4 linked regions of the Schizosaccharomyces pombe genome follow. The gene in region 2 interacts genetically with the main gene of each other region. Each region holds a gene or a part of one and is shown on either strand. Other genes may lie near its edges. The genes, in order: htr11, SPOM_SPAC1B3.02C, imp1 and sap114.

The links.
Region 1: mutations in SPOM_SPAC1B3.02C (region 2) and htr11 together harm fitness less than expected from each alone (positive genetic interaction), as found in Schizosaccharomyces pombe (one large-scale study listed by BioGRID).
Region 3: mutations in SPOM_SPAC1B3.02C (region 2) and imp1 together harm fitness less than expected from each alone (positive genetic interaction), as found in Schizosaccharomyces pombe (one large-scale study listed by BioGRID).
Region 4: mutations in SPOM_SPAC1B3.02C (region 2) and sap114 together harm fitness more than expected from each alone (negative genetic interaction), as found in Schizosaccharomyces pombe (one large-scale study listed by BioGRID).

The regions. Positions count from the first base shown.
Region 1 is NC_003423.3:502,175-512,547, reverse strand, and holds htr11 (serine protease), read right to left. Parts: upstream 8,198-10,373; 5' UTR 6,626-8,197; coding exon 3,632-6,625; 3' UTR 3,492-3,631; downstream 1-3,491. Other genes in the region: vacuolar amino acid transmembrane transporter Avt5, read left to right, coding at 82-1,344; poly(A) polymerase Cid11, read right to left, coding at 1,564-2,606, 2,653-3,046; SPOM_SPBC1685.04 (uncharacterized protein), read right to left, coding at 8,698-9,675.
Region 2 is NC_003424.3:4,926,282-4,932,991, forward strand, and holds SPOM_SPAC1B3.02C (Elf1 family transcription elongation factor), read right to left. Parts: upstream 3,265-6,710; 5' UTR 3,236-3,264; coding exon 3,170-3,235; intron 3,129-3,169; coding exon 3,082-3,128; intron 3,039-3,081; coding exon 2,968-3,038; intron 2,820-2,967; coding exon 2,680-2,819; 3' UTR 1,891-2,679; downstream 1-1,890. Other genes in the region: protein Min8, read left to right, coding at 257-329, 378-448, 514-591; SPOM_SPAC1B3.01C (uracil phosphoribosyltransferase), read right to left, coding at 665-722, 815-1,317, 1,539-1,637; cyclophilin family peptidyl-prolyl cis-trans isomerase Wis2, read right to left, coding at 3,664-4,734; GTPase GUF1, read right to left, coding at 5,032-5,070, 5,222-6,646.
Region 3 is NC_003423.3:3,913,040-3,919,014, forward strand, and holds imp1 (importin alpha family nuclear import signal receptor adaptor Imp1), read left to right. Parts: upstream 1-3,515; 5' UTR 3,516-3,586; coding exon 3,587-5,206; 3' UTR 5,207-5,475; downstream 5,476-5,975. Other genes in the region: srb7 (mediator complex subunit Med21), read right to left, coding at 11-261, 314-343, 397-490, 532-573; exoribonuclease Rex4, read left to right, coding at 1,657-1,689, 1,764-2,513; F0-ATPase subunit atp4, read right to left, coding at 5,730-5,975. UniProt on the Schizosaccharomyces pombe protein: Functions as a component of the nuclear pore complex (NPC).
Region 4 is NC_003424.3:1,170,540-1,177,986, forward strand, and holds sap114 (U2 snRNP-associated protein Sap114), read right to left. Parts: upstream 3,910-7,447; 5' UTR 3,617-3,909; coding exon 3,490-3,616; intron 3,441-3,489; coding exon 3,134-3,440; intron 3,071-3,133; coding exon 2,754-3,070; intron 2,669-2,753; coding exon 2,294-2,668; intron 2,251-2,293; coding exon 1,931-2,250; 3' UTR 1,812-1,930; downstream 1-1,811. Other genes in the region: cardiolipin synthase/ hydrolase fusion protein Crd1, read right to left, coding at 1-731, 823-1,317, 1,361-1,417, 1,460-1,587; ept1 (CDP-alcohol phosphatidyltransferase class-I family protein), read left to right, coding at 4,032-4,168, 4,219-5,242; dihydroxyacetone kinase Dak1, read left to right, coding at 6,526-7,447. UniProt on the Schizosaccharomyces pombe protein: Involved in pre-mRNA splicing. May be involved in endoplasmic reticulum-associated protein degradation (ERAD) and required for growth at low and high temperatures.

The sequences.
Region 1 (10,373 bases), on a different chromosome or scaffold from region 2:
GTAATTCGTAAAGTTGGTTCCTAAAAACACCAATTTTATAGCTTCCTAGATTTTTTCTCTATTCCTAGTTTGGGTTAATTTATGTCTGGGTATAGTCCTTTGTCTTCTGGACCAGCAGACGTCCATATTGGAAAAGCTGGGTTCTTTTCTTCGGTTATCAACCTTGCCAATACTATTTTGGGAGCTGGAATTCTTTCCTTACCAAATGCGTTTACCAAGACTGGTCTGTTGTTTGGGTGTTTGACCATCGTCTTTAGTGCATTCGCTTCTTTTTTAGGATTATATTTTGTTTCCCAATGCGCCGCACGACTCCCGAGGGGAAAGGCTTCATTTGCTGCTGTTGCCAAGCACACCTTTCCCTCTTTGGCTGTTGTCTTTGACGCTTCTATTGCTGTTAAATGCTTCGGTGTAGCGGTAAGCTATTTGGTTATTGTAGGCGATTTAATGCCCCAAATTGCTCCATCACTTGGTCTCTCTTCTCCAATGTTCCTTAGGCGCCAAACATGGATTGTCTTTGCGCTTTTCGTGCTTACTCCACTCTCGTTTCTTAAGAGGTTGGATTCTTTACGGCATACGTCTGTGATCAGCCTTATAGCTCTTTGTTACCTTGTGTTTATTGTTTTGTATCATTTTATCATCGGGGATACTGTAAAAGGAGAAATCCGCTACTTTGTTCCTGAGTCTGGCTTTGGCTATTTATCTGTTTTGCCCGTTTTCGTTTTCGGTTTCACTTGCCATCAAAATGCTTTCAGTGTAATAAATGAGGTCAGAAATTTCTCTCAAGGGTTCGTCAATTTTACTATGTTTACTGCTATTATTTCTTCTACGCTTTTGTACTTGCTTGTGGCTATTACGGGATATCTTTCATTTGGATCTCTGGCATCAGGTAATATTATCGCAATGTACGATAATACCAGTATTTGGATTATTGGTGGAAAGCTCGCTATTGTTGTACTAGTCCTTTTTAGTTATCCCCTTCAATGCCATCCATGCAGAAACTCTGTTTACCAAGCTATACGTCGCTCTTATTCTGCTCATGATATGAGTGATGGTTATCATGCCGTAATAACATTATGCATATTGTTATTTACTCACTCTCTGGCTCTTTTGCTGTCTTCTCTTGAAATGGTCTTAGCTTTTGTTGGAAGTACCGGTAGTACTTTTATTTCATTTATTCTTCCTGGATCTTTGTATTATTTTTTCTCTCATAAAGTTGCCTCCCCAGGTAATAGCAGCCCTCTACAGTTACGAATTTCCAGGGCCTTCGCTGCTGGACTGGCTATTTATGGCACAGTTGTTATGATTTTGTGCTTAAATATTAATATTGCAAAGTTATCTCATTAATTTTACTTTGGCAATCTTTTTCCAATTTATTTATTTATTTCTTAATTATGCGTTTAGCACTTCGCTCGAAAATATTATTCAAATTCCATTAAATACTAAACGCTATTTCTCTTTAATTTTTTTTTTCTTTTTCTTGTTCATAATTACTTGTTCGTTATGTCTTAACCATTAGGAAACATTCTCGGATTTTGCTTTTACTTCCTTGGTGCATTGCTTGAATTAATTTCCGGACGCAGGATTTGATGCATCTTCAGATGGGTACCATACTAACCAGGATTGACATGGAATATAGTGCCATGGAGGAGCTGAACCTTGTGTCAACGAGGTCTGGCCCTGGAAGTCCGAATCTCTGTTCGCTTTGTTTTCATAGCTTTGATGGTTACTTTCATCCGGTATGTAGTAGAGAAAGTTCATATTTCCTCCATCGGATAGGGTAATTTGAGGAGGATAATAAGGTTTTGGATATGCAGCAGCTTCAGGTAAAACAGTATGATTGCAACCAAATGATTCATAGGCGGTATTGAAAGGAGTATTCGTGTTCCCATAATTTGCCTCATTGGTAATATCTAGGAATTGATATTCTTCGCATATTTTACACAACCTTTCGCATGCATTATTCTCACTCATAAGTCGAAATGCCCGCTGAAATTCACTCTGAAGTCCTTTGACGCTAGGATTGTCAGCAGTATTTGCAAGGTTTCGAGCAGTATTGAAAGGCTCTTCGACACATAAAGAATTGTTCACCTCCATGGCCCAACCTTTTTCCTGTTTGTTCAGTACAGTTCCCGATCTCACAGATACCACTGAGTCCAGATAATTAAACGAAAATCCATAGTAGTAAAAAAAATCTATTAAAAGTCTCCCTAAAGATGTTTTGTTGAGAGTTGCTTTCTCCTTGAACCCGACAATGTCATCAACAAACATTTTATTATCATCATTACTCATTAAATCGAGCATTGCAGGTAGGATTGGGGGATTTCTCGTTTGCAAAAAATTTACCAGCATACAAGAAATTGTATAAGATGTAATTGTTCCGCTGCCTGCAGCATCACATAGGGCCCTTTGCTTTGCCCAATACTTGATAATTAATCCTAGTGGCCGTACTCGCGGGTCGATTGAGACAAAGAGACGAAGCATCTTAGTATTAATCTTTGCCACGTCGTTATTAATATTTAAGTCACAGTGTATGTCAAACTGTGGATCCCAAATTTTAACTATAGGGACTCGTGCTCTTGAAACGCAGACAATTTGTTTCATGCCATCTGTTTCCTGGTTAGCTTAATTAAAATAGACATACTGATAACTTACAAGAGTAAAGTAATTGAGCCAATTGACATGTTGAGTTTAAGTATTTGCTACCATTGGTGATAATGCACACATCAACGTCCGACTGTTGTATAGCCAAATTGTTCTCAGTGGATCCGAATACAAAGAGATCCAATTTAGCATCTTTAATTTCGGTACTTAAAATAGTGCGCAGCTTGTCAACAAATTGTTGACGCCTGGATACTTCTTCATTAGAAGGTTTTAGTCGCATATATAATTTCCAGCACTCGTTAGTCAGTTCAGCATCCACTGTTTCATTTATTTGGTCATTTCTATGTTCAGATTCTTGTAGTTGTACTAGATTAGCATCAAAACGTCTTTTTTTTTGTTGCATTTGTCCTTCAAAAGGGCAACAAGTAAATGTCAATAACTCCATATTATCCAAAATTCTGATAACCTCTGTAGGTGGTTTTAAAAATAATTGAGCATCAATGCTATTGTGCAAAAATTAAAGTGTGTAGAGTTGTGTGCTTGGAATATATTCCTCATCACATAAAGTATAAACAAATGAGCCCTTTGTTTACATGACCAACTTTATGCTCATAAACAAATATAGTTATTTATAGTAAGTTAAGCCTCCTAAATAAAAATATTAACTTAAAAAATATTAAATGATGATTTATTAACGCCTAATAACCTAAGCCGAATTTGCAAATAATGGTATGTGAATCTACATTTCAATTTATTATAGCAACCAAGTGAACCGCTCCAAGTTCAAATAATCAGCTCCAGCTTAAAATAAATCCTCATAATACTTTACTAGAGTAATAAAACATAGATAAATATACTTTTCAAAAGTGCAGAGCTACGTAAGTTTTGGTCTAAAAACAAAATTTAAAAAGAAAAATTTCATTTCTTCAACTAGTTCTTGAAGAACAGTTAATATACGTTAACATTCATGAAACATAACAGGCATATAATAGCAAATCGATATGATACAAACAAAGGGACATAAGGAATTTTAAGAACAAACTTCTTTGGTCTTACGCTGTAAATGTTTAGTGCACCATCTACCATTAGAATCTCTTTCAATGATACAAGTAGGCCAAAATAAGGGATCTGGTCGAACACTGACTATACTAGTAGCACCACGACGGTTCATTTGCTTAACCTGAACAAAAGTATCAGTAGGCTTCTCTAACAACATATGGTAGAAATCGTCAAAAGTGTTAATATCGTGACCATCTACTGCAACTATCCAATGCGCTGCACGAAGCATATTCAAAGCTGGCGAGCCATATAATATGCTGCCGACGTAAACCCCTTCAGGTCCAGGAAGATCAACATCAGGCTCAACTTGCTCGAAAACGCTTGAATGCGTTGGGTGAATGATAGCACCCATCCAGCAAATTGCACGAGAACTAAAAGTGGGATATTCGGGATACAAGGGAATTGTTATTTCCATTTCAATTCCATCGCGAAGGATGACCGCCTTTATTTCACTCTCGGTTTCAAACTCATGAAGGTCCGATAGACGAGTAATCATCTTTCCATTAACCTCCAACAGAATATCACCGACTCCAAGAGACGTTTTGTGAAGTAGTGGGCGCAAATGAGAAATCACATATAAAGGTCGAGGGATGGTACCGTTTTCTCTGGATTTCATATAAAATTCAGACGATCTGGTTTGGGATAATCCAAGTGTAGAAGCACCTGCCAAAGTGATATGTGACCATTCCACCCCAGCTGTTGTTGGCACATGCTGCGCACGAGCTGACGGTGGTAACTTAAGCCTTTCGAGAACGGGAAGAATGTAAGACATTGAAAGACCATATTTAGTGGTATAGTCTTTTCCACCAACATCTTGGTGAACAACAGATATCCAGAGTGCTACTATTTCGCGATCGTCGCCTACTTCTCGAAACACTAAACCTCCAGTAGAAGCTAAGGAATCCATTAAAGAAATGACTTCGCAATTTACGTACCGGAATCTAGGTGGAGAAGAGCGTTCTGTTTCAACAACAGATACACTTCGCACTGTTGTTTTCTTTGTCAGCAATTGCAAATCTTCGTCGAGAGCAGCCAGCGTGCATTCATCTCCTGTCCGCAGGAAATCAGCGACGAAGTTAAGTTGCACAGAGTTACTGGGCAAGTAATCGCACGAGACTACAGCAATTCTATTGTCCAAAAAAGTTAAATGACCCATGGCGCTCATCGACTGGAAGGTCAAGCGAATATCGCAAATATCAACAGGTATAACAGAACGATCGACAACTATTAATGGTGGCACTACAGAAACAATTACTCCGGTACCACTGTATAGCTTAGTAGAGCTGAATCCGTTGATGCTATATGGCATTCGACAATGAACCAGAACCAATGCATTTTGAATCGCTTCCATACTTTTGGATCCCTCTTGTGGTCTCGGAATTACACTAGGTCGGCGAGAAATAGACGGCTGAGGAGGAGGGAGACTTTGTCTGTCCCATGTCCCTTTTTCATCATTCCTTGAAAAGATGCTAGCCAGGAAAAAGTGTCTATCAACTGTCACTATCGTGAATTCTTCTTCATATTTACCAAGGACTCTAAAGTGCATAGGCACTCTGGCATTATCCGTCAACTGGACCAAAACATCAATGAAAGCATCCAAAGTTGGAGTGGGTTTATTGGCAAGTCTGGTAACTAAAAAATCGCGGGTTCCAGAGGACCAATTGAGCATACCAGAAGAAGCCACATATGTACCAGAATTTAAAGAAAATTGGTATGAACGAGCAAGCTGATAAGACAAATCGTGAAGCACCGCGCCTCCGACTTCCAAGAAGCGTGAAGGCGTTACGTTATGCAAGTCTTGTACAGTCAGTTGAAACGTTAAAAAACCACGTTTAGGACGATAAACATGCAGCTCAATCGTTTTACCGACCATTTCATCTAAAACTTCGAATAAAGAGACAAAATCAACAATGTATGTAGACTTATGAGAGTCTGTTTTGAAAGCAATTAATATATCGCCAGGTTCCAAAGCCTTAGAGACTTCAGAATTTCTGAGAACTCGCGAAACAACCAAAAGACCAGTACTACTAGGAACACGGGTTCTACAATCGTATTCAAATTCCCTTGGAAGGCCAATGCGACTGAGTTCGTCGTATGACCAATGTAAAAACTCGGTAAGAAGAGTACCACGAGTAATAGGAGTATTGTTCTCAATACATCGCAAAGCTCGAACAACCCGGTCCAGAGGAAGATAAAAAGAAGAGGCACTGCTGTTGGATCCTCCCGAGTTTAAAGCAACGGCGGCACCAGAGATGTCAAGAACAGGACTGCCAGAGCTGCCTCCACTAGTTCCACTAGCTGCCTGATAATAAAATGTATTAAAATCGTTGTAGTTGTCAATTCCGTAGTTTGGAGCTGGACGATCAAGACGAGCCAAAGTGGAGCTTAAAATAGACAATTTTTCACCAGCATCGTTACCAATAATTCGAATATCTATACCTACCTTGGCTGATTCAGGGGAAAGTGAAATTTCAGTGACATCGTGGAATCGAATGGAAGATGGATCATAACGAAAGAAGCCAAAGTCATGAACAGGATCTCTGTAGATGGGATAAATATCAATTTCTTCATAGTTTATGAAAGAGGCACGAGCTGAAATGGGTCCTGGAGAAACAACGTGTCTGTTGGATAAGATAAGACCAAGTGTTTTATTCACGACAAAGCCAGTTGCGCAAAAACTACCGGCGCTTTCAGTATCAAAAGAGCGTAATGCGGAGCCTTTAATGGAAACGATACTTCGAACAACATTTTTAATCGTATTATCCCATGTATGGTGAATCTCTTTGGTATCTAGATAACGTTCTTCATCTGTATTGCGAATGGGAAATGGTTCGCTAACATTGTATAAACCTTCAGCAATAACATTCTGTTGCTGGGGCGTATTACATTCAGAAGTAATTTTATCAGGACGAAATTTGGGTAGGAAAATGTGATTAGGCCGATAATCGGAGGAAACTGGAGTCATGATGAAAGGTAGAAACCGACAAGAATGTAAACAAAAGCACAAGATACAGAAATTTATAACAAACACAAAGAAAAAGCGGTTGAACACTAGGTATACTTTTGAATCTCGATAGTGTTTAACAGGCTTTGCTTTGTAAACTGGACAAGCTTTAATTGGAAGAATAAACGAATTTAAATAACAAATGAAAGTTTATAATAACTTTTGGGCAACACAAGCAAAGTTCTAAACGAGCCGCGAAATACTAATTATCAAGGCCAAATAAAACTCGAAAAGTCAATCAAGTACTGACACTTGTAAGCCTTTTTTGTAGGATAAATGGAGAACACTATATAGCGACAAAGATCTGTTTTCAGTTATACAAACATACAACAATGTCTGTTTGCAAGGAATTACAAATCAATTGCGCAATGGCTATCAGATGGATATATGAAGGAATTCCTATATAGAAATCTCAGTATCCTTAATTTGACTACTCAAGCAATAAGATAATTTACCTGAAACAGTTATAATATATTTAGTAAATCAAATATTTTGACAATCTGCTTCACTTTACTGACACACCAATGGCAAGATAACGATAATAATTGCAGACGGTGGCTTGAATAGTTTGCAGAAATCCTTTCCAATTCAGAGATAAGAAAAGATTAGCCTTTATATCTTTTTTTTTAATTAATCAAACGAAAATGACAGGAGTAACGACAAGTAGAAACAAAATACACACACAAAAACGAAACAATAAAATAAGTAATCAAGTGTATGAATGAGAAATTTTAAATCTTGTAAGCCGTAAAAAAAACGAAAAGATTTTAAAAATTCCCAAACTCCACTGTATGGACAAAAACGAAGCGAAAAGAGAATGGGATTTGCAAGAATAGTTTTGATAAGGTCAGTAGCAATCGGGGAATGCTATGATAATAAGCGTAGAACAATGATCTCCCTTTCTTTTCTTTTGCAGATAAGCTCGATCCTGAATTTTAAACTACGCAGTTAAAAGTAATATTTGCGATATGATGTCTAAATTTCGCTATTGGAAGATTCTTGTTTCATTCGTTTTGCCCATCGGCAACGCGGGCTTTCAATTCAATATATATGTAGGTGAACGATGTTTGCTGTAATAGTTAACTTCACTAGCGTCTCATACCACCAGCAGACAAAGTGCGTGGCAAGCCGTTTGATCAACAATTCTATTGCTCGATGATTTTTAAGAGTGATGTCAAAGTCCGAGTGCGGCAAAAATAAGACAGCGTAGCTTTAGAAGTGATTTCGATGAATTTCACTCAAACGGAGGATTGCGACGAACAAGGAGCCGCAATGTCGTTTGTTCAAAATCGGATTTCTTGGTTCCGTGACATTTTGCAAATAAGCTAGAATCCATCTTCATACGACTGTGTCGTATTGAATGGAAATGGAAAACTGAAAGAATGGGTTCGAAATGGAAAACGACATTCTGAGGATGTTTGACAGAATCGGTTATGTGAACCGAAAGTGAATGTACGTGGTATTAGCGTAGAATTGTTTGAAAACTAAAATGGTGTTACTTTTTGAAAACTGTTTCGTTTGTAGTAGGTTGATGGTTGAACAAGACAAAACAAAGATTATTAAGGTAGCTTTAGATTCAGGGATGTTTATTATGACAGTGTTTGATTTGGGTAGGAGATTGACAGTTTAAGTATGGAAATAGGCATTCAATAGCATATTTGAATTGAATCACTAATGAACTCGACTCGCATTACTTTAACATTTTGTCATTTGTTGTGTAGAAGAGAGTTTGAGAAGACAAATCAAAGATGATCAAAGTTGGTGTTATTAAATAAATATCATGCCGAAAATACAGCTGAAATAAATATTATATACGATTTTAACGATGTGGTGCTAGATGAGGCTGAAAATCTGGAGGTAAAATCATGTATGAAATATATATTTCTCCACAATTAACAGGTATCTTGAAGCCGTGCAGGGTAAAAGTAGTAAGGCTGTCGGTCAACACGCCAAGGAATGCATTGTGCCATTGAATGACCATATTTTAATATTAGAAGGTTGTATTGATAGTATACGGAATGAAAATTAAATTATTAGGAAGAAACGGGAGTCGAGGTTATCGCAGTAAGCATATTCTCAAAATATACAATTTCGAGCTCTAAACAAACAATGATTGGCTTCCATGTATTGGAGTCAGCAATCTGTCTCGCCGACTCCAAAGAGTGAAGAGTCGAGGTCAAGAGTGATAATACACTAGTGCGCTGAACGTCAGTTAATGGAGGCAAAGCAGCTTCTGATAAAGAAGTAGGCCCCAGTATTGAGATTAGTTTTGTTTCGACAGCTTGGATTTGATGGATCAAACGTTGGAAGAATTGCATTCCTGGAAGTGCTTGCCCGACCATTAGTCGCAAAAGATCTTCTCTTTTCTTCAATACTTCCATCCGTTTTTCAAGGGAAGATACATTAGCATGTGCATCATACTGCTCCTGCAGAGTTAAAAGGCGATCTTCCATACTGAGTGCCTTTTTCTTTTCTAGATTATCATAAGTCTGGAGTCGTTTTACAAGGGTGTTTCGTTGGTTCGTTACAATCGCCAACTTTTCCTGCAAAATTTGAATTTCCTCATCTAAATGTGTAATGCTTGTCTTTAGATTCGATATTTCTTCCGCTTTGTGCACCTCTGCCAGACTTGCTTTGGTCGATTCAATTTGGGATAAAATGTCTGTCTGCGAGTCCCAACGGCTCTTCAATTTCCTTTGCTGGCTCCTATATAAATCAGCGTTTTCTTGACAAGCTTGACACCATAACTGCAACTGCTCAGCGATGGCTTTTCGAATCCTGGTCAAGTCGTTGGGCTGTTTAGATTGAAACAACACTTCAGCCAGCTCATCCAAAAGCGATTGTATTTTCCTTTCCACTTTTGGAAAGGAGCCACTTTCTTCCATATTGTCAAAAAGCTCTAAGCTACGCGTTCTTGTCGATAAGCCAGAAGAAGAGGTACCTTCATCATTCAGCATCCCTTCATTAGACTTGTTTGGGAATTCGTCTAGCGGAATATATTCTTGTTTCATTTTAAAAAGGTATAATACACGAAAAATCTAGTAAATGCGTAAATTTGGTAAGTTCAACCCTTTTTTCTTCATAACAGAAAATTATATCGCATTCAACATCACTAGTGTAAGTTTTTCGCTTTTTTTATATACGAATCTTTATTTTTTCAGTCTTCCTATCTTTTCAAGAAACCAATCCGTTCAAAATCACACTGTAAAATGTATTTCTTAACTATCAGTGTGTGCAAATGTCTATGTGCTATAGTGGAACAATGTTGAATAGTCGCGAACTTGTGTTTATGAAGCCAGTAGACCTTTAATAACAATTCAGACTTTCTCTATCTCAAATATTTTTTTTAGTCAACTAAAATTGCGTATTAGGAGCGCCACTACTATCATGAACTTCAGTCCAAATATTAAACTAAACTTACAACATCTTAGAGTTTTTGGCACCAAAAAAACTTTTGAATATCCTGTTGTGTCTATTATTTCAATTTTTTATTGTATTTCTATATGATTCAGTATATTTGTAGCAAGGCTTTTGATAACGTAAATATACGTCGCCTTTCATACACACATCCGAGTAAAAGAAAAAGCGACAACCAAAAGACGGGGAGACCAATAAATCTAGTAAAATCAAAGAAAAGAAATAATGAAGGTATATCCTTTCGCAAAGATTAAATGCAATGTTGAAATCCACGTGAACCGACCTTTAAATA
Region 2 (6,710 bases):
TTCGTCGTCATTTTAGAAATTGATTATTTACATTGCAACACCATCGATTGAGCAATTTTATCAACACACACAGTACTCTTAGCGCACAGTAAGCAACCCCGTTTGTTATGATATATTAATATGCCTCGTTAGTTCGTCAATATACCACTTTACATAAGTGTGGCCAAAGTAAAGCAATAATGACGAGACCAGGAGGAAGGGCAACCCAATATAAGTTGAAGAGAAGACTTTGAATGCTTAACTATTAAGTGTACAAATGGCAGTTTTATCAAGAATTATGAAACCTTACAGGGCCTTTCAAAGGCTTCCTTTTGAGCTCAAACCTCTGGGTTAGTTACTGAGAAAACCGAATTTGTCAAATCACTAACGAATTTTAGCAATCCTCATTGGAATTGCTGGGTCCACTGCAATATTTACCATGGGATATAAGATTTATTCTGATCCTGAAGTATGTACAATTATTTCCAAACTTCTATTACTATTTAAACAACGGCCACTGACCTATATTTACAGATTCGACGCTCACCAAGTTGGGTAGCACAAACACAACAAAAAGAAGAGACAAAAGTTAAGAAACCGCAATTTCATTAAGTGCTGTTAAAATTAGTCTTTTAATGTTTAGTGCGTGGTTGTGTGTTTAATTGAGCAAATTTTCAAAGCAACTTTAGGCCTTCGTTCCAAAGTAAATGTCTCCAAAATCGCCAAGACCTGGAACAATGTATCTAAATCATATGTGTTAAAGATTATTCATGAATGAAATAGCGATCAACTTTGTATTGACCTCATGAACACTTGTAGTGTATCGTGCACATACCCATTGTTGTCGAGTCCCTCATCAATTACGGCGGTAACTATACGTATATTGGGGAAACGATCGTGAACATTTTTCAACCCTTCAGGCGAGGCAATTACATTGAGGAAAATGATTTGTTCTTGTTTGCAACCCATGTTGATAAGAATTTCCATAGCACAAATAGCAGAGCCACCAGTGGCTAGCATGGGGTCCAAAAGTAAGACATAGCGTTTAGAAATATCTTCGGGAAGCTTGATGTAGTGTAACACAGGTTTATGAGTTTCCTCATCACGCTGTATCAAAATTTTTCCAATACGAACAGAACGACAGCATTCACGCAATCCTTGTTCCATACTTTCGCCAGCTCTCATAATGCTAACGCCGCAAATACGACCATCAAACATTACACCCTCGTATTCAGCATTTTGAGCAGTCGTTACCTTAGCTGAAGACACTGGCAAGTGGTTGAGGCCCTCTTCAACAATTAAACGAATGATTCTATTGGCATAAAAAATAAATTCAGACTAAATATCATGTTAGCAGGGATAACAGATTCAACAAAGAATACACGAGAAGTTGTCGAATGTACTAACTGATAATGAATGCTTCCTATCATCCACTGATAAACATTTATCTCCCCATTAATAGAGGAAAAAGCTAAAATTTCTTGGACATATTAACACATTCATTTCAATTAGTTCTTAGACCTTGACTCAGTAATCTGTTGTAAACTGAACGCGCATACACGAGGTTTCGTTTTATCACGAATGATGGTAAACAACCCTTTTAATTGATTTGTCTGATTTAGTACGTACACATTTCCATGCTCAGGTACCAGCGACATCTTTTTGACGATGTATGCTTAAATATCTACCTATCAAGTTGTTTACCAAGTAAATGGTAAAAAGTAAAAGCACAATAACACATTTGCTTTTAAGCTATCAATAGCAAAATGAGTTTTATCAACCTTAGTATATTTCGTTAAACATAAATAAAGATTTACAACATCATTTCATAATAACATAATTATGATTAATGCGTTACTTAGCGCAGTAAAAGATTTCTACTCTAGCAGGCTTGGCAAAATTAAATAAGAATATCAATTAACTATTGAACATATTTTAGGGCAAGTTGATGTTTTTAAATGAATTACTGCTTATATTTAAGAATGAGAAAGACAGTACAAATTTTTGAAGCACACATTCATACAATTGGACTCCATGCAGCTTACAATCTTAATTGGATTTCAATGTTTTTTACTTGTAATTCTCAATTCATCCAACTGTATTCACAAGAAACCAAGAAATGAGTTGTATTGTAAGGATTTTTAAATCAAATGCAGTAAGAACACATGAACATATTTTCATATCTCTTTCATTCTAGACATTTTTTGTACATGGAGAATACAATAAGTACAAGGTCGAAGTCAACCACACTCTAGGCACTCGTAATTCTTAGCCTGTCATAGTGAACAGCGATTCTACCAAACCAAAAACAAAGCAATGAAATGGCTATCTTGCCAATGAGCAAGATATCACACCCATATTGATGGTACATCCGAATACCAACAAATAAGCTTAACACTATCGTCCAATTGTCGGTTCATCAGATGGAATCTCGAAATTCGTATGTTCGACGTCTTTAAAAAGGACAAATATATACAAGAGCATGCCTAGATTTGTATACACTAAGCTCGTCCGGTTTTGCCAAATACAGCGTCTTGTTCATTGCAATGTAGTTAATACCTTCTTATCGCTTCAGAGAAATCTCTTAATTGAAACGACTGAGCATCAACGAAAATAAGATCACCATAAATGAACGGAAACTTTCAACATTTAAGCTCTGAAAAGAATCTTCCTTTTGCAAGTTAGGCCAATAGCAAAAAATCATTCCTTTTCTTCCTCATAAGCTGCTTCAGGGGAATAGGCTTCTTGATCATTTATATTATCAACCTCTTTAGCTTGATTTGCAACAGCATCACAAGCATCAATCCAGTCGCTGTATACGTCGATGGGTGCCGAAAGAGCTTGATAATGTTAGTAAATAAGTGTACAAGAAAATTTCATAAAAGAACAAGAAATAAGAAGATAAAGAGACGATATAAAAGAAATTAACCGCAATATTAATCGTAATAATTTACGTGCCGCTATTGAAATAAAACACCTCTTTCATACCTGTAATTAGACATTGATGACTCTGACCACAAATTTTGCAGTGTAGATTTCCAACTCCTGATTGTTTATCACTATCAAAGTGTTAAAAAAAATGAAAGTAGTTAATAAGCATACAGACTACAGCTCACACTTTTTTCGTGGTTGCAAAATAGGCACGTAAACTAGTAAAGTTAGTAAATTTCGTAATTAAACTATAACTCACAGTCGTATCTAATGGGGGTGCCCTTCTTTTGGGTTTCACTTTTGCTTTTGCTTTTCTTTTACCCATTTGCAGAATCTGTTTACGTTTTGCAAACTGCAGATTCGTATTAGCGGGTTCACATTAGCACTCTCATCCTTAGGAAGGGTAATGCGGAAACTCATGTAATTTCGACACTTGGTAAGAGACGGTCTTATTTAATTTTAATGAATTAAATGTTTAAATATGATATTCTTATTGAGTTTACTGATGCACATTTGTTTCTAGAGTTCTTTCTATTCATGATGATACTTTGCTGTATGAAACGCAAACGTAGGCATACCAGTCTTACAAACGAAGCCAGATCCTCCATAAGTAAATCTTGCACTCTTTCTCGCAACGTAGTTGACCTTCTATGGTTATTTTGTAAATGCGATAAAACTCTCATTGACTAACTAGAAATTAACGTAAAACATAATTGACTTCTCAGCATTCACGTGACGCCGATTAATTTGGAATTACTGAAACATCTTAGCATAGGCCTTTTGTTGGCGCTTCTTATAATCTTTTTTCTTTTGACGAATTTCTGCAAGCTTCTTTGAAATTGCAGGATCGTTACCAGCCTTAGCAAGTGCTTTCTCTGATTCTTCAAAATTCTTCAAGAGACCTTGAGCACAACCCAAACGATAGTATGCTTTCTGTTTCTCTAACTCAGTAGAGTTACTGGCCTCAATTACAATGTTGGCGTTTCGAATAGCTTCCTGAGGTTTGTTCTGCTTCAAAGCTACAAGGGCAAGGTTTGCGTATATGCTGTATCGTAAAGCATTATACTCTTTCCAGAAATCAGGGGATTCCTTAGAGTCATCGTTGGGAACAGGGTATTCCATTAGGTAGCGCAAAGCTTTTTGCCATTTGGCAACGGCTGTATCCAAATTTTGCTGAGCAAATTGCTTGTTAGCAATTCCCTTTAAGTCGCTAGCAATTTTGAAAATGGCAGTCTCGGACTTATCACCCTCGTAATCATCAGGAAATTCTTCCAGAGAATCACCAGTAACGTCTGGCTTTGGTGCCTCAATCTGATCCTTTGTGCAAGTTCCACATTCTTCAATAACAACAGGTACAACCGGATCGTCATTTTTGGTCTCCAAATTTTCAATGGTACGAACAGTAGATTTTCCTTGAATTACCTTGCCAAAAACAACATGCTTTCCATCCAAATGAGGGGTGGGAACAGTAGTAATGAAGAACTGAGATCCATTGGTATTAGGGCCGGCATTGGCCATGGAAAGCAAGAAAGGCTTATCATGCTTGAGCTCAAAGTTCTCGTCCTCAAACTTCTCGCCGTAGATGCTTTCTCCACCCGTTCCATTACCACGAGTAAAGTCACCACCTTGAAGCATAAAGTTCTTAATTACTCGATGGAACCTTGAACCTTTGTAGGTTAAACAACGGCCATCCTTCTCAAACCCATTACACAACGAAGCAAAGTTTTTGACAGTTTTGGGAACTACGTTGTCGAAAAGTTCAAAGTAGATTGTTGGTTGAATTTTACCATCAATGCTAATTTTAAAATAGGCGTAAGTACTCATTTCGTGCAAAAAAAAACAATGATCGTTTTTAAGTAATGATATTTCACTGCCAGTCTCCTCAGTGTATTCACACCACAAAGTTGCTTTAAGAAGAAGAATGAATAGCGATTTTACGCAGACGAAATATACAGATCTGTGCAAACTATTTAGTTTTAGTTATTAAAAAGGTGGTGATTTATATTTGCAACCTACTGCGAAGAGATTTTCTACGAAACTTCTAGAAACATACTGTATTAAAAAAATGCTAGCAGAAGAAAATTTGACTTTTTATTAGACCAAAAAATATTTATACTTTTTTCAATTAGATTGCTTCTTCGTTAAAAATTCATAAAATACCTGATTTAAGTTAGCACACACGGACTATAAAGAAATATAAGTGCTGTTGAGTGAAGTCAACAATGTATTTAAATTTTAAAACACAAAATTGTGTTTCCTAATAGTTTTAAAACATATTTCGATGAAGTCTTCAGGCAATGTAATTACTTACCGATTTGTCAATTGAAACATTTCCAACTGACTTCAATCTCTTTTTCCCTTCCTTTTGCTTATTAAGTAGCTTTTGCTTCCTTGTTACATCTCCCCCGTAGCATTTTGCTGTGACATTTTTTCGAAGAGCCGAGATAGACTCCCTGGCGACTACTCGGTTGTCGATGACAGCTTGAAGTATTACTTCATATAGTTGTTTAGGAACTAACGGCTTCAACCGTTGAATCCATTCACGGCCTCGCTGAAGTGCAAGCGAGCGATGCACTATAGAACAAAGAGCATCTACAGATTTTCCACTCATAAAAATTGATAGTCGCACCAAATCAGCAGGAACGTAATCCGATTCTTCATAATCTAAGGTAGCGAAACCACTTGTTGTCCCTTTTAATCGACCAAAGAAATCTTCAACCAGGTGAGCAAGAGGTAATTGATATTTTATCATGCATCGCGATTCGGACATATAAGTGCAGTCCTTTTGGAGTCCTCGACAAGATTCACACAACTTGATAACATCTCCTAGGTACTCGCTCGGTGTTATAATTGTTGCATCGACGGTGGGCTCTAAAAGCTCAGATATACCTTGATGATTTGTTGGAAATAGATTAGGATTCGATATTACTTCTTCCCTTCCATTTTTATATTTTATGCGATACGGTACTGTGGGAGAAGTGATTAATAATTCCTTTCCATATTCATCCTTTAATCTGTCAATAAAGACAGAAAGATGCAACGTTCCAAGAAAACCTAAACGCCATCCCATCCCAAGAGCAGACGAGTTTTCTTTTTGTACATTAATAGCACGATCATTAAGGGCCAATTGTTCGATGTTATCATTTAGTCTCTCGTAATCCGAGCCATCCAAAGGAAAGGCGCCAACATAAACCATTGATTGGGGAATAGAGAAACCAGGTAATGCTTCAACATTAGATCCGATGGTTGAATATGTATCCCCGACAATTGCTTCATCAATATTTTTCATATTCCAGATAATATAACCAACTTGTCCTGCTCGAAGACGCGAAACTTCGGTCATGTCAGGATACATAATTCCAACTTGTTGTACTTCATACTTTCTACCTGTGTTTACACTCATCACCTTTCCTCCTTTTTTTATAAAGCCCTCCATAATTCGCACCAATCCTATAACTCCCTGGTAGCTATTGTACCAACTGTCTATCAACAGGCAGCGTAACGGAGCATTTTCTGACCCCTTGGGAGGAGGAATTTTTTGTATGATTTCCGGTAGAATTTGTTCGACATTTTTTCCCGTTTTAGAAGAGACTAGGATGGGCTTGGACATAGGGATATCAAAAGTTTGCTGAACTTGAATCAAAGTTCTATCCACATCCGCAGTTGGCAAATCAACCTTGTTCAGAACTGGAATTATGACCAAGTTTTGGGAAAATGCCATATAAAAATTTGACAACTAAATAATACGTTAGCTTAGAGTTAATATATTGATACCTAGGTTATTTGATGTTGCTTTGCTC
Region 3 (5,975 bases), on a different chromosome or scaffold from region 2:
CATATTATCATCAGGGCTGAAATAGGACACATGATAACCGGCCAAATGTTTCAATCCTCTTGGCCAATTGTAATTTTAAATCTTCATTTTCTGATTCTAAACTCTTCCTCTCCAATTGTTTTTCTTCAATGGAGTTTTGTAACTTTTTAATTTTCTCTAATTGATGTTTTGGTGCAGTGGAAATACCTGGAAGTTGGTTGATCAAAGTGTCTATTTGCATAAATTTTGTAACCAAGTCTTTTGCTAGATCCCTTTGAGCGACTACAAAAAGAAGTTAGCACATAAAATGACTAGAGGACGTCTAATATCGTACATTGTAACTCTTCAGCAGAAATTGGGTTCACTAATAATTTGTTAGTAGCTACTTTGAATAGCATCATAATGAATCTTGTATACCTTTAGAATCAGAAACCTTTTCTTGACCAGGTAAAGGAACGAAATCATGATGAGAACTTAAATAATGAATGGAAGAGTAAAATTGTGTGGCAACCTACATAGGTTAGAATAGAAAAAGAAAACTAGTCCCATTACCTCATCAATTGTATCTTGAAGCTGAGTACACCTACATGCCATTTTTTTATGTAGGTGTAATATGAGTTAAAAAGAGTTGAAAGTCGCAAGTTGTTGAAGGTCCATGATGCAGGTAACAATTGTTGAAGCGCAAATGTCAAGAACAATAAATCGCTAATTAACTTTTCTGTTATTTCAGCATCGGATATTTATTATGCACAGCTTTTGATTTTATGACATTGTTTGTAATTGTAATGTATCGACCTAAAAACCGACTGTCTAGCAATCGGGAAAAAGAATTAAGCTAGAATCACGCTTGACATAAGCAAAAGAAATTTAACATAAAACAGTACATAAAATTTAAAAAAAAATTAATGGAAAGCGAAAAAAAATAAACTACAGAAACTACAGAATCAGCTAAGTATTTTTAATTAACATAGAAAAACAATGATAATAGTAATACATTCGACATATTTATTATATTTTTGATCGTGGAAGGGTGTCCGAGTGGTTATGGAGCTAGTTTAAGGCACTAGTGCGAAAGCTCGTGGGTTCGAGTCCCACCCCTTTCAGTACCTTTTTGATAATCCATTCATTCTGAGTGTTTTCATATTACGTGAAGGTGCATTGTTATTAAAATTGCAGTACTCTGCTTTTAAAAAGATAGCGGACAATGCTACAAATTCAATACAATCTATCCTTTTAAGCAAACATAAATCACTAAATGTTTAACGAATATGCTACTACGGGTCTTGAATATTCACAATATTCTTTTATTAGGAAATGCATTAACCACCGGTACCTTATAATATTCTTACGAAGTGGGTACACACTGAAATAGCTCATTGGTGACCCGAAGAACGGAGGTTAATTTATTTCATAGTCTCGTATATTTGGCAGTAGTTACATCAAGAAGCAACAAATGGTGCATCACTGTCAATATATGTATATATACTATAGATAAATAAATACAAGGCATGTGACTTATATAATGATACTTAACGTAACGTACTATCATCAACGCTTTATTCAAAATAATGAAATGTGCTAAAATGTGATAAAATATTTGTGATACCGCGTTGAGAATCATATTGAAAGAGGTTGCAAATTGCTTCTTGCACCAACTTTGGCTCTTATGCACAAGCAATGTCTTCTTCCAATTGGGAAAAGTTAAAGAAGGTATGAAAGGCTATAGTTTCCATTAAGTCATTTAAGATTCTTGTTTAAGTATACTAACGGTATTGGTTGTTTAGAAACTCGACAGCGCTAAGAGTGGACGGGTTGAAAAAAAGCATTCTAATGAAAAGAAATACCTTAAAAGTGTGAAAGGTAAAAACAATGAGAATGAGAATTCTTATATCGTCGATAAAAAACGCATGAATGAATTAAAGAAATTTGCTAAGGAAAATGATATCCCTGAATCTCAAGTCCTTGACGCATATGGCGTGGATGCTTCCAAGCTTACCAGAAAAACCAATTTGGAAACATTGGGGAAATATATTGCAATGGATTGTGAAATGGTTGGGGTGGCAGATGACATGTCAGTTCTTGCACGCGTCAGTATAGTTAATTATCATGGTCATGTCGTGTATGATACTTATGTCCGTCCTAAAGAAAAGGTTACGGATTGGAGAACATGGGTCAGTGGTGTCAAGTCATTTCACATGCGGGATGCACCTTCATTTGAAAAAGTACAAGCAGAAGTTGCTAAGATACTCGACAATCGAGTATTGGTTGGACATGCTGTCCATAACGATCTCAAAGTACTACTTTTATCGCATCCAAGAAGAATGATTCGTGATACCAGCAGATTTTCTGGGTATCGGAAATTAGCCAAGGGAAGGACACCAGGGCTTAAAAAACTTGCTGAAGTGATTCTTGGGCGTGACATTCAATCTGGACAGCATTCTTCCGTCCAGGATGCCCAAGCAACGATGGAATTATATAAGAAAGTAAAAAAAGAAATGGATGAAGTTGCATTCAAAGGTTTGTCAAAGTCATAAGCTTTGAATCACTAGACTTCGTTCTGGTCATTTGGGATTTGGGTTTAATAATATGCAAGAAAATGTTTCTTATAATTTTACTGGATATGTGTCAGATGTTAAATATATTTTCGGTTGCTTATAACAGCAATATTGTTTTCATTGGCTCTTATGAAATCGTTGGTTTTCTTTCTTTATTTATCTCTTCTGTTTCCTTCGTTTCTGGTTTTAAATAGTCAATCTATTAATAATTTTTAGTATAAATAAATGATGCATACAACTGAAGGAAAGAAATAATGTATGGAAAAAACAAGGATATAGAGATTTATCAGCTTCGTTTATATGGTCTTCATAATTACTTTGTGAATTAATAAAGTTAATGTTATATAATTAGATTACTTCCTATAGTGTATATGATTTAGAGCATTTTAACTGAATGACGATAATATGTTTTCAAGCGCCGTTAAGTTAATTCCTAAATTTATATAAATACCGAATTAATCTTTATTATCACAAAAAAAATAAAAAATATATATATTAATAATAGCTACCAAATAAATTCTAGTTAGACAATGGACCATTAATGTATACATATTAATAGCTTACAAAACAGATACGGAAGTGTTTGAAAAATAAGTATTTATTCAAAGATTAAATTGCTCAACTATATGTATTATATAATCAAAATAAAAATAAAAATAGGCCAACTTGACAGGTTGTTTAAAGAAAAATTCCATTTGTTTTTAAATTTTGAATTCTTGTTATAGCATTCAGCTTGTTAAAAACCCAAGAAAAATTGGTTGATGAGCTCAATAAGCATGTTGTTTTACCCGTTTTATGGTGCGAAGGTTTCCAATGACAGAACAAAAATGATCTAGAAAGTTTCAACGATTTGAACCGGAAAATGATATATTTCAAATTATTCTAAATTTATTATTTTTGAACATTGTTACCTGGGTGCCGGCTGCTTCTTGGAACGACACAAGTGCTCTTTTACCTCCTTATTCTCATTAAACTCGCAGCAACCACAACTGTCTTAGATAACTAAAAAAAAAAGAGTAAAAAGGATATCAAAAAAGTTTATTCCTATAGAAATGGAATCGAGATATTTATCAGATAGAAGAAGCCGTTTTAAAAGCAAAGGTGTTTTCAAAGCTGATGAACTTCGTCGGCAACGTGAAGAACAGCAAATTGAAATCCGCAAACAAAAACGTGAGGAAAGTTTGAATAAACGAAGGAATTTAAACGCTGTTTTACAAAATGACATTGATGTGGAAGAGGAGGCTGATCAGTCTCAGGTTCAAATGGAGCAACAAATGAAAGATGAATTTCCTAAATTGACAGCTGATGTGATGTCAGACGACATTGAGCTACAATTAGGTGCCGTCACGAAATTCAGGAAATATCTTTCTAAGGAGACGCATCCCCCTATTGATCAGGTAATTGCTTGTGGTGTTGTTGACCGGTTCGTACAATTTTTAGAAAGTGAACATCACTTGCTTCAATTTGAAGCGGCTTGGGCCTTAACAAATATCGCTAGTGGTACCACAGATCAAACCCGTATTGTTGTTGATTCCGGCGCTGTTCCTCGTTTTATTCAATTACTTTCTTCACCTGAAAAAGATGTCCGTGAGCAGGTTGTATGGGCCCTCGGTAACATAGCTGGCGATTCTTCTGCCTGCCGTGACTATGTACTCGGTAACGGAGTTTTACAGCCTTTACTTAATATTCTTCAGAGTAGCGCTTCTGATGTTTCTATGCTCCGTAACGCTACATGGACACTTTCTAACTTGTGTAGAGGCAAAAATCCACCACCTAACTGGTCAACTATTTCTGTAGCCGTTCCAATCCTTGCTAAGCTCCTTTATTCTGAAGACGTTGAGATTATTGTTGACGCGTGCTGGGCCATCTCCTATCTTTCTGATGGACCTAACGAAAAAATTGGCGCCATTTTAGACGTTGGATGTGCGCCCAGGCTTGTTGAACTTTTGAGCTCTCCCAGCGTTAATATTCAAACTCCTGCCCTTCGCTCTGTGGGGAATATAGTAACAGGTACTGACGCGCAAACACAGATCATAATCGATTGCGGTGCTCTCAATGCATTCCCTAGTCTTCTCAGTCATCAAAAAGAGAACATTCGTAAGGAAGCTTGTTGGACTATTAGCAATATTACTGCTGGCAATACCCAACAAATCCAAGCAATTATTGAAAGTAATCTTATACCTCCATTGGTCCATTTACTCTCATATGCCGACTACAAAACAAAAAAAGAAGCCTGTTGGGCTATTTCTAATGCTACTTCTGGCGGTCTCGGTCAGCCTGACCAAATTCGTTACCTTGTGTCACAAGGCGTTATTAAGCCACTTTGCGATATGTTGAACGGATCCGATAATAAAATTATTCAAGTTGCTCTCGATGCCATTGAAAACATACTTAAAGTTGGTGAGATGGACAGAACTATGGATCTTGAAAACATTAATCAATACGCTGTCTACGTTGAGGAAGCTGGCGGTATGGATATGATCCATGATTTGCAATCCTCCGGAAATAACGATATTTATTTGAAAGCGTATAGCATCATTGAAAAGTATTTCAGTGACGAGGACGCAGTTGAAGATTTGGCACCTGAAACCGAAAATGGCGCCTTCACATTTGGCAATGGCCCTCAAGCTCAAGGAGAATTTAAATTTGATTCTCAAGATATGGCTATGTAACGTTTAAATTAATTTTAAAAAAATTTTTTTTGTTCTAATCGAAGCGCACATTATTTACATGTTTCACTTAGACAAATTCTGTTTTCCATTACTGGTGCTTTTGTTGGGTTTGTATTTCTTTTTTTTACCCTCTATTTTTAATTCAATTTAGCTATTTGTGAAGCTAAGTATTTCTATTAGGATTAAAAACTACGGTTAAATAATATGTTTACGAAAAAAATGAGTGTACTACTAAAACAGAGCGGTACAGGTAAATAGCATGATATCACTAAAAATGTTTATATTCGTAAGAGCTGCAACTAGGCAAAATAGAGAAGGGGGTTTAGGATCAAAGAAAATAAAAATAAAAGAAAGCAGCGGGGACGATATACACTGTTAGGTTCAAATGACTTCGACTAATCGGTGAATGCAATTTGAAAACCAATAATGACGCAAATTTTTGCTAATAAGCATATATGCAAATCAAATATGACTGAAAAAAACTGCAGCTGTCTTATCGTATTATGTCCCTCGAAAAAACAATTTAGGCACTAGCTAAGACCTTTTCGATTTCACCGAGACTTTCATTGAGAGCATCCTGTTGGAACTTTTGGGTAGAAACTTTGCTGTTGACACGAGCCAAGACATCTTCAACGAGACGTTCCTGTTGTTCAGCGCGAACGTTGGCTTCGTGATGAACCCAGCTATCCAACACTGATTTAGCTTCTTTAGCTAAAGCAACTCGCTGTTCGAGCTCAAAGATCTCAGCCTCCATACGGGCAGTTTCTTT
Region 4 (7,447 bases), 3.8 Mb from region 2:
AACAAGTCATTAACGTTTTATCGGCTAACGGATCAAGTACTGTCCCAGCAATGCTGCCTAAATCAAACTTTCGAGCTATATACCCATCAACCAAATCCGTAAATCCAGCATATAAAAAAAAGCAAGCAGCAGCTTTAGTATAATCATAAATGTAAAGATAAGCAATTAATGGAGCTGAAAGGAGCCTTGAGAATGTCAGCAAGTTTGGCAAGGTAAAAATATTCTCACGCAAAGGCCTTTGAATAGGCTTACTGTTATTACTTTTTGTCACAGTGTTTAAAACACGAGAAGAGGTGTGAAATCCACGAACCTCGCCCATTGACTTGTTCAATTTGGCAGCAGGAACGTGTTTGGATAGAGCCCAGCGCACACCTTCCCATACATTATCAGAAACGTGCTTCGCAGAATATTTAGGGCTATTGTCTCCTTGGAAGATACCAGTACGTACTAAAATACTAGTCCAACCGTAATTATTCGCACCACGAATATCACTTTCGGGGTTATCACCAACCATGAAAATTTCCTTGGGAGGATTGGTGATTCCTAAAGTTTTATGCTTCTTCATTAAAATGTTTTTAGCATAATCATAAGTCAGCTTATGAGGTTTTCCATATTTCGTATTTCTTAAGTCCTTTCCAGTAAGTTCTTTAAAAACACTTTCACAGCAAATTGCAAAAGCTCCTTGACCTAAGCGGGGAAGAGGATACTCATTAGGCCAAATTAAATCCGCACTATAAAAGCTGTTAGCATTCACTCATAGTATTCGAGTACAGCTTGCAAAAATATTTTTACACAAAAGATACTTTCCAAGAAATAACTTACTTAGAAAAGTAAATATCGGGACCTTCATTTGCTGTCTTCGAAACTGTTCCTAAAACACCATTCTTCGACTGGCCCAATTCCATCACCAATTGAAGATCCAAACCAAGTCGGACAGGATCGACATAAGTGAAAACTGCTTCAATGGGTCTAGTAACGTCAAAGTCTTTTGCATCTTTAATATCTTCTTCGTTAAAAGATGTGAAAGGCCAAAATGGAGTTCCTAACTTTGCGATGACATCGAGTTCATTGATAACACTTTTAAACCCATACTTTTCAGCAGTTTCACGGACGCTGTTGTCTTTTCCTCCAAGAACCAAGACGTGCTTATACTTATCCGCAAGAGCGCGAAAGGGGGTATGTGATTGACAAAAATCATCCTCTGTTAAACTTACGCTCAATGTCTTGGAAAGACGCTGAGCTCTAACACTCTCATGCATACCACCTCCATTCGTTAACAGAATAAAAGGTATATTATTTTTTTGCAAAAATTTCAAACTTACAAGTTAGTTTGAAAATGGTAGTTCATAGTTAAGCTTACGTCTTCGTTCCTTCTTTCAAACCTCTTCCTCCTCTAATTAAAACTCCATCAATACTGCTTTGGTTAGTTTCAAAAATCGATCATTAATTACTGTATTACTCAAATGCGAAACAAACATCTGCAATAGGGCTTTTAGTAGACGATTCGGTCGTAAACTTTCGAAACGTTGAACGCCCTAACTGCCTGGCAGCCAAATGCCAAGATCTATAATTGATAGTATGTAGCATTTATTAAAGCCGATAAATGAAGAATCAACAATGTAAGAAGTAAAAAATTAAGAGGTTTGTGCGGTTACGTGGTATGACAACTTAAGGATGACGGTGGGCGGGTATGAAAACCAGACCCGCATTTCCTAAGTTAAAATCCAGCTTTGTTTAGTGTATTGGACTTTTTATAATAAAGAATATTTGTATTCTCAATTAGTTGGAGAAAGTCTACAACACCTGGTTTATTTACATCTTATTTATTTCACGAGTTGTAGAAGCAAATTAACTAATAGATTTCGGCGTCCTACGAAGCTTAAATAAAATAAAGTAAAAATTAACAAAATTAAAAAAAGTTCTATGAAATCTACCGGCGTTTATTTGTGGGAGTTGCTCCCCAAGCGCTCTGAGTAGCAGCACGTTTTCTTCGTTCGATTTCCTCTTGAGAGATTTCTACCCCGTTTTGGACGTCAAACAAATCAGTCCGTTGACTAACCAATCTTTTCATATTTGCAGCAACGTTCACGTTCTCTAAATTTAAAGTTGATTTCCTAGATTCTTCAACTTTGCGCTGTTCCTGCCAGCGAGGGTCAAGTAATTTTAGACGCATATGCTCTTCTAGTTCTGTAGCGGGAACCAATTCACCTGAGAAAGGCGATATCTCCATCGGAACTTTGGGCTGGAAAGCTAAACAGGGTCAGTAAAGTTACAATAAGGAATATAAACTTACCCTTTGGTACTGGCTTTTGTACCTTCGGCTGAGTAGTGGTAGACAAAACGGGAGAAGCTTGTGCGGCAGGAGAAACTGAAGTAGTTGAAGAAATACCTCCTTTTTCTGGAGAAGCAAGTGATGGAGGAAGAGAAACACCAAATTCTTGTTTTTTAGGCGCACTTATGGGCTCCCAAGGCTCCGCTGTAGGAGGAGCTTCCTCAATAGTGTAATTTTGGTCAGGCATGGTAAACATGGCAGACTTTTGTTCTAAAGTAGCAGTTTGTAAATCCGCTAAATTCGTAGGTTTAGCTAATTTTGCATGTTCATCGGACTTTGTGAATTGAATCACTTCAACAACGACAAAATCGTTCCAATCAATTTGTGCATATTCCACTAAGACAAGTTAGTTCCAATTCAAATGGTAAATGAAGAATATTGGACTTCCTGAACCAGTTTTTGCATCTCAATATACACTTACACTTCTCTTTTTCGGCTTCTTCCTTTTGTTTTTTCTTTTGGCTCTCCATATGCGATTGCCACCTTACACGCGGCTGAATTTTAGAAAGTAAGCTATAAGGGTCTCTCACATTTTCACGAAGCTCCTGTTCTGGCGAAGAAATGGGCTCTCTAATTAGAGAAGTATATTGTTGAACTATACGCATAAAGTAAGGGTACAATGCATTATTTGGCTTTAAAAAATCAAATTGAGTGTTATTCCACTCTTTTTGAGAAAGACTCACTAAGAAAGAAGAACCACGAACTGCCGCATATCGCGCAGTTAAACGGAGCACGTCTCTAGATTCACGGTTAATTAGCAACTTCAAAGAAGAAGGAAATAATAGTTGAGATGATACTTACAAATCTAGTGATGAAATAGAAGGAAGTGGTTCTGAAAACAAGTACGGTGAGGGAGCAGGAATAGTTGCCTCTATAGGTTTTTGAATGGGACGAGCCAAAGTGGATGTTTTTTGGGTTGACAAGCCTGTGGCATGACTCTTCAATTTTCCCTCCCTCGCTTCAGTTAATTTGTGCTGATAATATGGGTGGTAGGGGTCATTAGCATGCAAGAAAGCAAACTTAGTATTTGCCTGTTCATTCTGGCGAATTTTTTCTTCAAAAGCTGGGCCATTTCTGGCAACGTAACTAGCAGATTTATCAATTATTTCTAAGCTACGTTAGCAGGCGCGTCTATTGTACTAATTACTATGACTCACCTCGAATTGCTGGAGGAGGTAAAATTACCCCTGCAGGGACCGATGAACTTTGATCAGTGATGCTTTTTTGGTGTTCTGTTTCATTATTTGTCGTATTTCTGTCTTGGAATTCCATTAAAGAACTCATATGTGAGACTTATGCAGAAAAAGGTAGTGGTGGAAGGACACTTGTCGCACAAGGCAGATGAAGCGATGGACAAGCGAAAAGAAAGGACTATTGAAATTCAATAGAAGTTTATAAAAGTTTAGGGCGACCTTGCTGCTCTAAACAGTTGTTGCCTAGGGCATCCGTAATCCACTGCGGATGGACAAATAACATCAAAACGGTTGATAGCAACAATTATCCTTACAATTTAGAATTTAAAAGATAGTTATAGTGCAAGTTTTTTTGCAAGCTACATTATACATTTATTTATCGGTAGAAGGTTTATCTGCATTCGTTGCTTTGCCTTTATTTCTACACACTAAGACGCGTAACATGTTTACCCTCTACCAGTACTTTATCGGAGAATAAGGAAAGGATATCCAGGTAGTTTCTCAAGATGCAGTTAAACCGGAAGCAGTTAAAGAATCTTCATAACTATAAATATAGTGCGATTGATAACTCACTTCTTTCAAAATATATTTTGAAGCCGTACTGGTGGAATCAACTTTTGAAGGTGATTCCCATGTCTATGGCGTATGATCTACACCCGTTTGCTTGCTTATTCTTACTAACTCTTTACTTAGACCTAATTTGATTACTTTGATCGGGCTTGGATTCGTTGTTATCAATATCCTTACTATGCTTGTGTACAAGTATCATTATGAGATGGATGCTTTCCCATCATGGGTGTATGCTTCTTGGGCGATTGGCCTTTTTCTTTACCAAAGTTTTGACGCTATTGATGGCTCGCAAGCGCGTCGTACTGGCACATCATCTCCATTAGGTCAATTATTTGACCATGGAGTAGACGCCATCAATACGAGCTTTGAAGTTTTACTGACGATTGAACTGCTGCAACTAGATATGTTTAGCTCAATCCTTACTCAATTTGCCAGCTTATTATACTTTTACATCTCTACTTGGGAAGAATACCATACGGGTACTTTGTACCTTTCATACTTCTCGGGTCCTGTCGAAGGAATTGTAATGGTTATTGGACTATTTGCCCTTACAGCTATTAAGGGTGATTCTTTCTGGCTCAAGCTACATCCCACTCCCGAGTCATGGGGATTTGTACGTTCCTTTCTGCCATACTACACATATGGATCATGCTTGTACAACTTTATGGCATTTGCCCTGCTATTGAATGTCTTACAAAGTTTACGAAATGCTCTTCAAGCCGTCCAAAAGAACAACGGAAGTGTGATTAAAGCATTGAGTGGTATCCTTCCCTATTTCCTCCAATGGATGGCTGTCTTTTCACTCTATGCCAAGTATCCTGCTTTCTTTGAACATCATTTCCTCACTATTTTTTGCTTGAACGCTTTTATCTTTGCTTATTCGGTTGGAGTGGTAATTGTTTCTCACATTACCGAATCTCCCTTCCCATACTGGAATGTGCTTATTCTTCCATTCTTGGTGGATGCCGTGGACGCCTATACTTTTGGCGTATTAAAAAACGTTCAGACGGAATACTTTTTTTGCTACGTTGGAATTTGCATTGGTGTTTACGGCAACTTTGTTGCACATGTCATTGCCATGATTACGGAAGAGTACGGCATTAAATGTTTGACTATTCCATCCAAACCAGAGTCCAAGAAGAATTGAACTAGATGATGATGGTTTGGACAGAATAGAGATGAGAACAAAAGGGTCCAGAGAGATTTTGTCATTGATAACCTTTCGGTCGATCTTTTGTTCTGCAATGTATCTAACGGATCAGAAGTATCAAAATGATCCATTTCCTAGTAGACAGGTTTTTTTCGGTTGTGTGTTTTCTGCCAACAATATGTTACTTTTGTTTGTTTTCCTGCTGTAGTAATAAAAGTTGGTTTTTTTACCAGAACATAATAATGAACAAGTATTTCACTTGCGACTTCGTTCACTAAATGATCCAGCCTTTCGTATCCTTTTAACTAACTGTATATACTGATGAACAAATGGTCCATTTGTCTTCTACACTGCAAACTTGCTTTTCACCGTGGAATACCGGGGCTGCACTAACTAAGATGACTGGTTCCACATGTGCAGACCGGAGCACTTTTCGACAACCTTCTTTTAATTAAGGTTCTTATGGCAGTTCGTAACGATTTAACAATTTCAATAAATAGCCATCGTCCTGTCCCATTGCTTCTTTGGGCATTGGTAGAGTTTGCCCTTTTAAGGCAATCTTTTGCTACATAAAGGTGACTCAAGTTTACGCTGCGATTTTACTACTTTTCTAGCATATGATCTACAAAAGGTCAGCGAAATTTTTCTTTGACTAGGAAAATGGATTGAGGTCATCTTCGGCAAGGCAAGCTGATATTTAATTTAATTGTTCATATCGGCAACATTTCGTAATTAGTTGAAGGGTATGAAAAACGGTTCTACGGTTATCTAGATGTGTTTATTCACTGTTTCAGCATAATATCACTTCCGTTACGTGCGGGGCACTTCGTCATGCAAATTGGTGGTTATATAGTATATATAGAGAGACAAGGCCAGCATTATTAAATCGTCTTCAAGCTCCCTTTTTCCGCTACACTCATAACTTTTACGAAATAGCGAAACGAAAACGAGACATAACGTAACGAAACGAAACGTTTACTAGTATATTCTTGGTTTATTTATTTTGTATTTAAACCAGTTGAAGCATAGTAGCGTATAAAGTGTTAATTTTTTCGCATTGAAGGGAATTTTGATATTAATATTTTGAGATTTTAGAGACACATAGATTTATTTCTTTAATCCTTTACTCACACTTGCACTTCCCCACCACCTAAAACAAGTCATTTTATATTCTTAGATCATAAATTTCGGGAATATTTGATTTAACTATCCAACTTATATTTAATTTTATTTTAAGGCTTTATTCTCTTTTTTTTACCTTTTTCTTATTATTCTAAAATATGGATAAGCACTTTATCAACGATCCTGAAGTCCTCGTCCTTGATGGCCTTAAATCCTTGGCCGACATGAACAAAACTTTAACTGTTCATGAAGAGGGAAAATTCATCTATTTCCATGACTACAACAAAAAGAATGTCAGTGTCATTTCCGGCGGTGGTGCTGGTCATGAACCCACTCATTCTTCGTTCGTGGGCAAGGGTATGCTTACTGCCGCCGTCTCAGGCTCCATTTTTGCTTCTCCTTCGTCAAAGCAAATTTATACCGGTATTAAGCAAGTCGAATCTGAGGCTGGCACCTTGGTAATTTGCAAAAACTACACCGGTGACATCCTTCACTTTGGTATGGCCTTGGAGAAGCAAAGAACGGCTGGTAAGAAGGCTGAACTTATTGCCGTTGCAGATGACGTATCAGTAGGTCGTAAGAAGAGCGGTAAGGTCGGACGTCGTGGTTTGTCTGGTACTGTTCTTGTTCACAAAATCGCTGGTGCAGCTGCCGCCAGAGGGTTACCTTTGGAAGCCGTTACGACCATTGCTAAGGCTGCTATTGACAATTTGGTTAGTATCGGTGCTTCACTCGCTCACGTTCACGTCCCTGGTCATGAGCCAATTGCAAAAGAAGATGAAATGAAACATGATGAAATGGAACTTGGAATGGGTATTCACAATGAACCTGGATGCAAGCGTATTTCCCCTATTCCCTCTATTGATGACCTAATCGCTCAGATGCTTAAGCAAATGTTGGATCAATCCGACAAGGACCGTGCCTATGTAAAGATTGAGGGTGACGATGAAGTAGTCTTACTTATGAATAACCTTGGTGGTCTTTCCATGCTTGAATTCAGTGCCATTAGCCACAAGGTGAAGGAAGCATTGGCTAAAGAATACAAAATCAACCCCGTTCGCATCTTTGCCGGTCCATTTA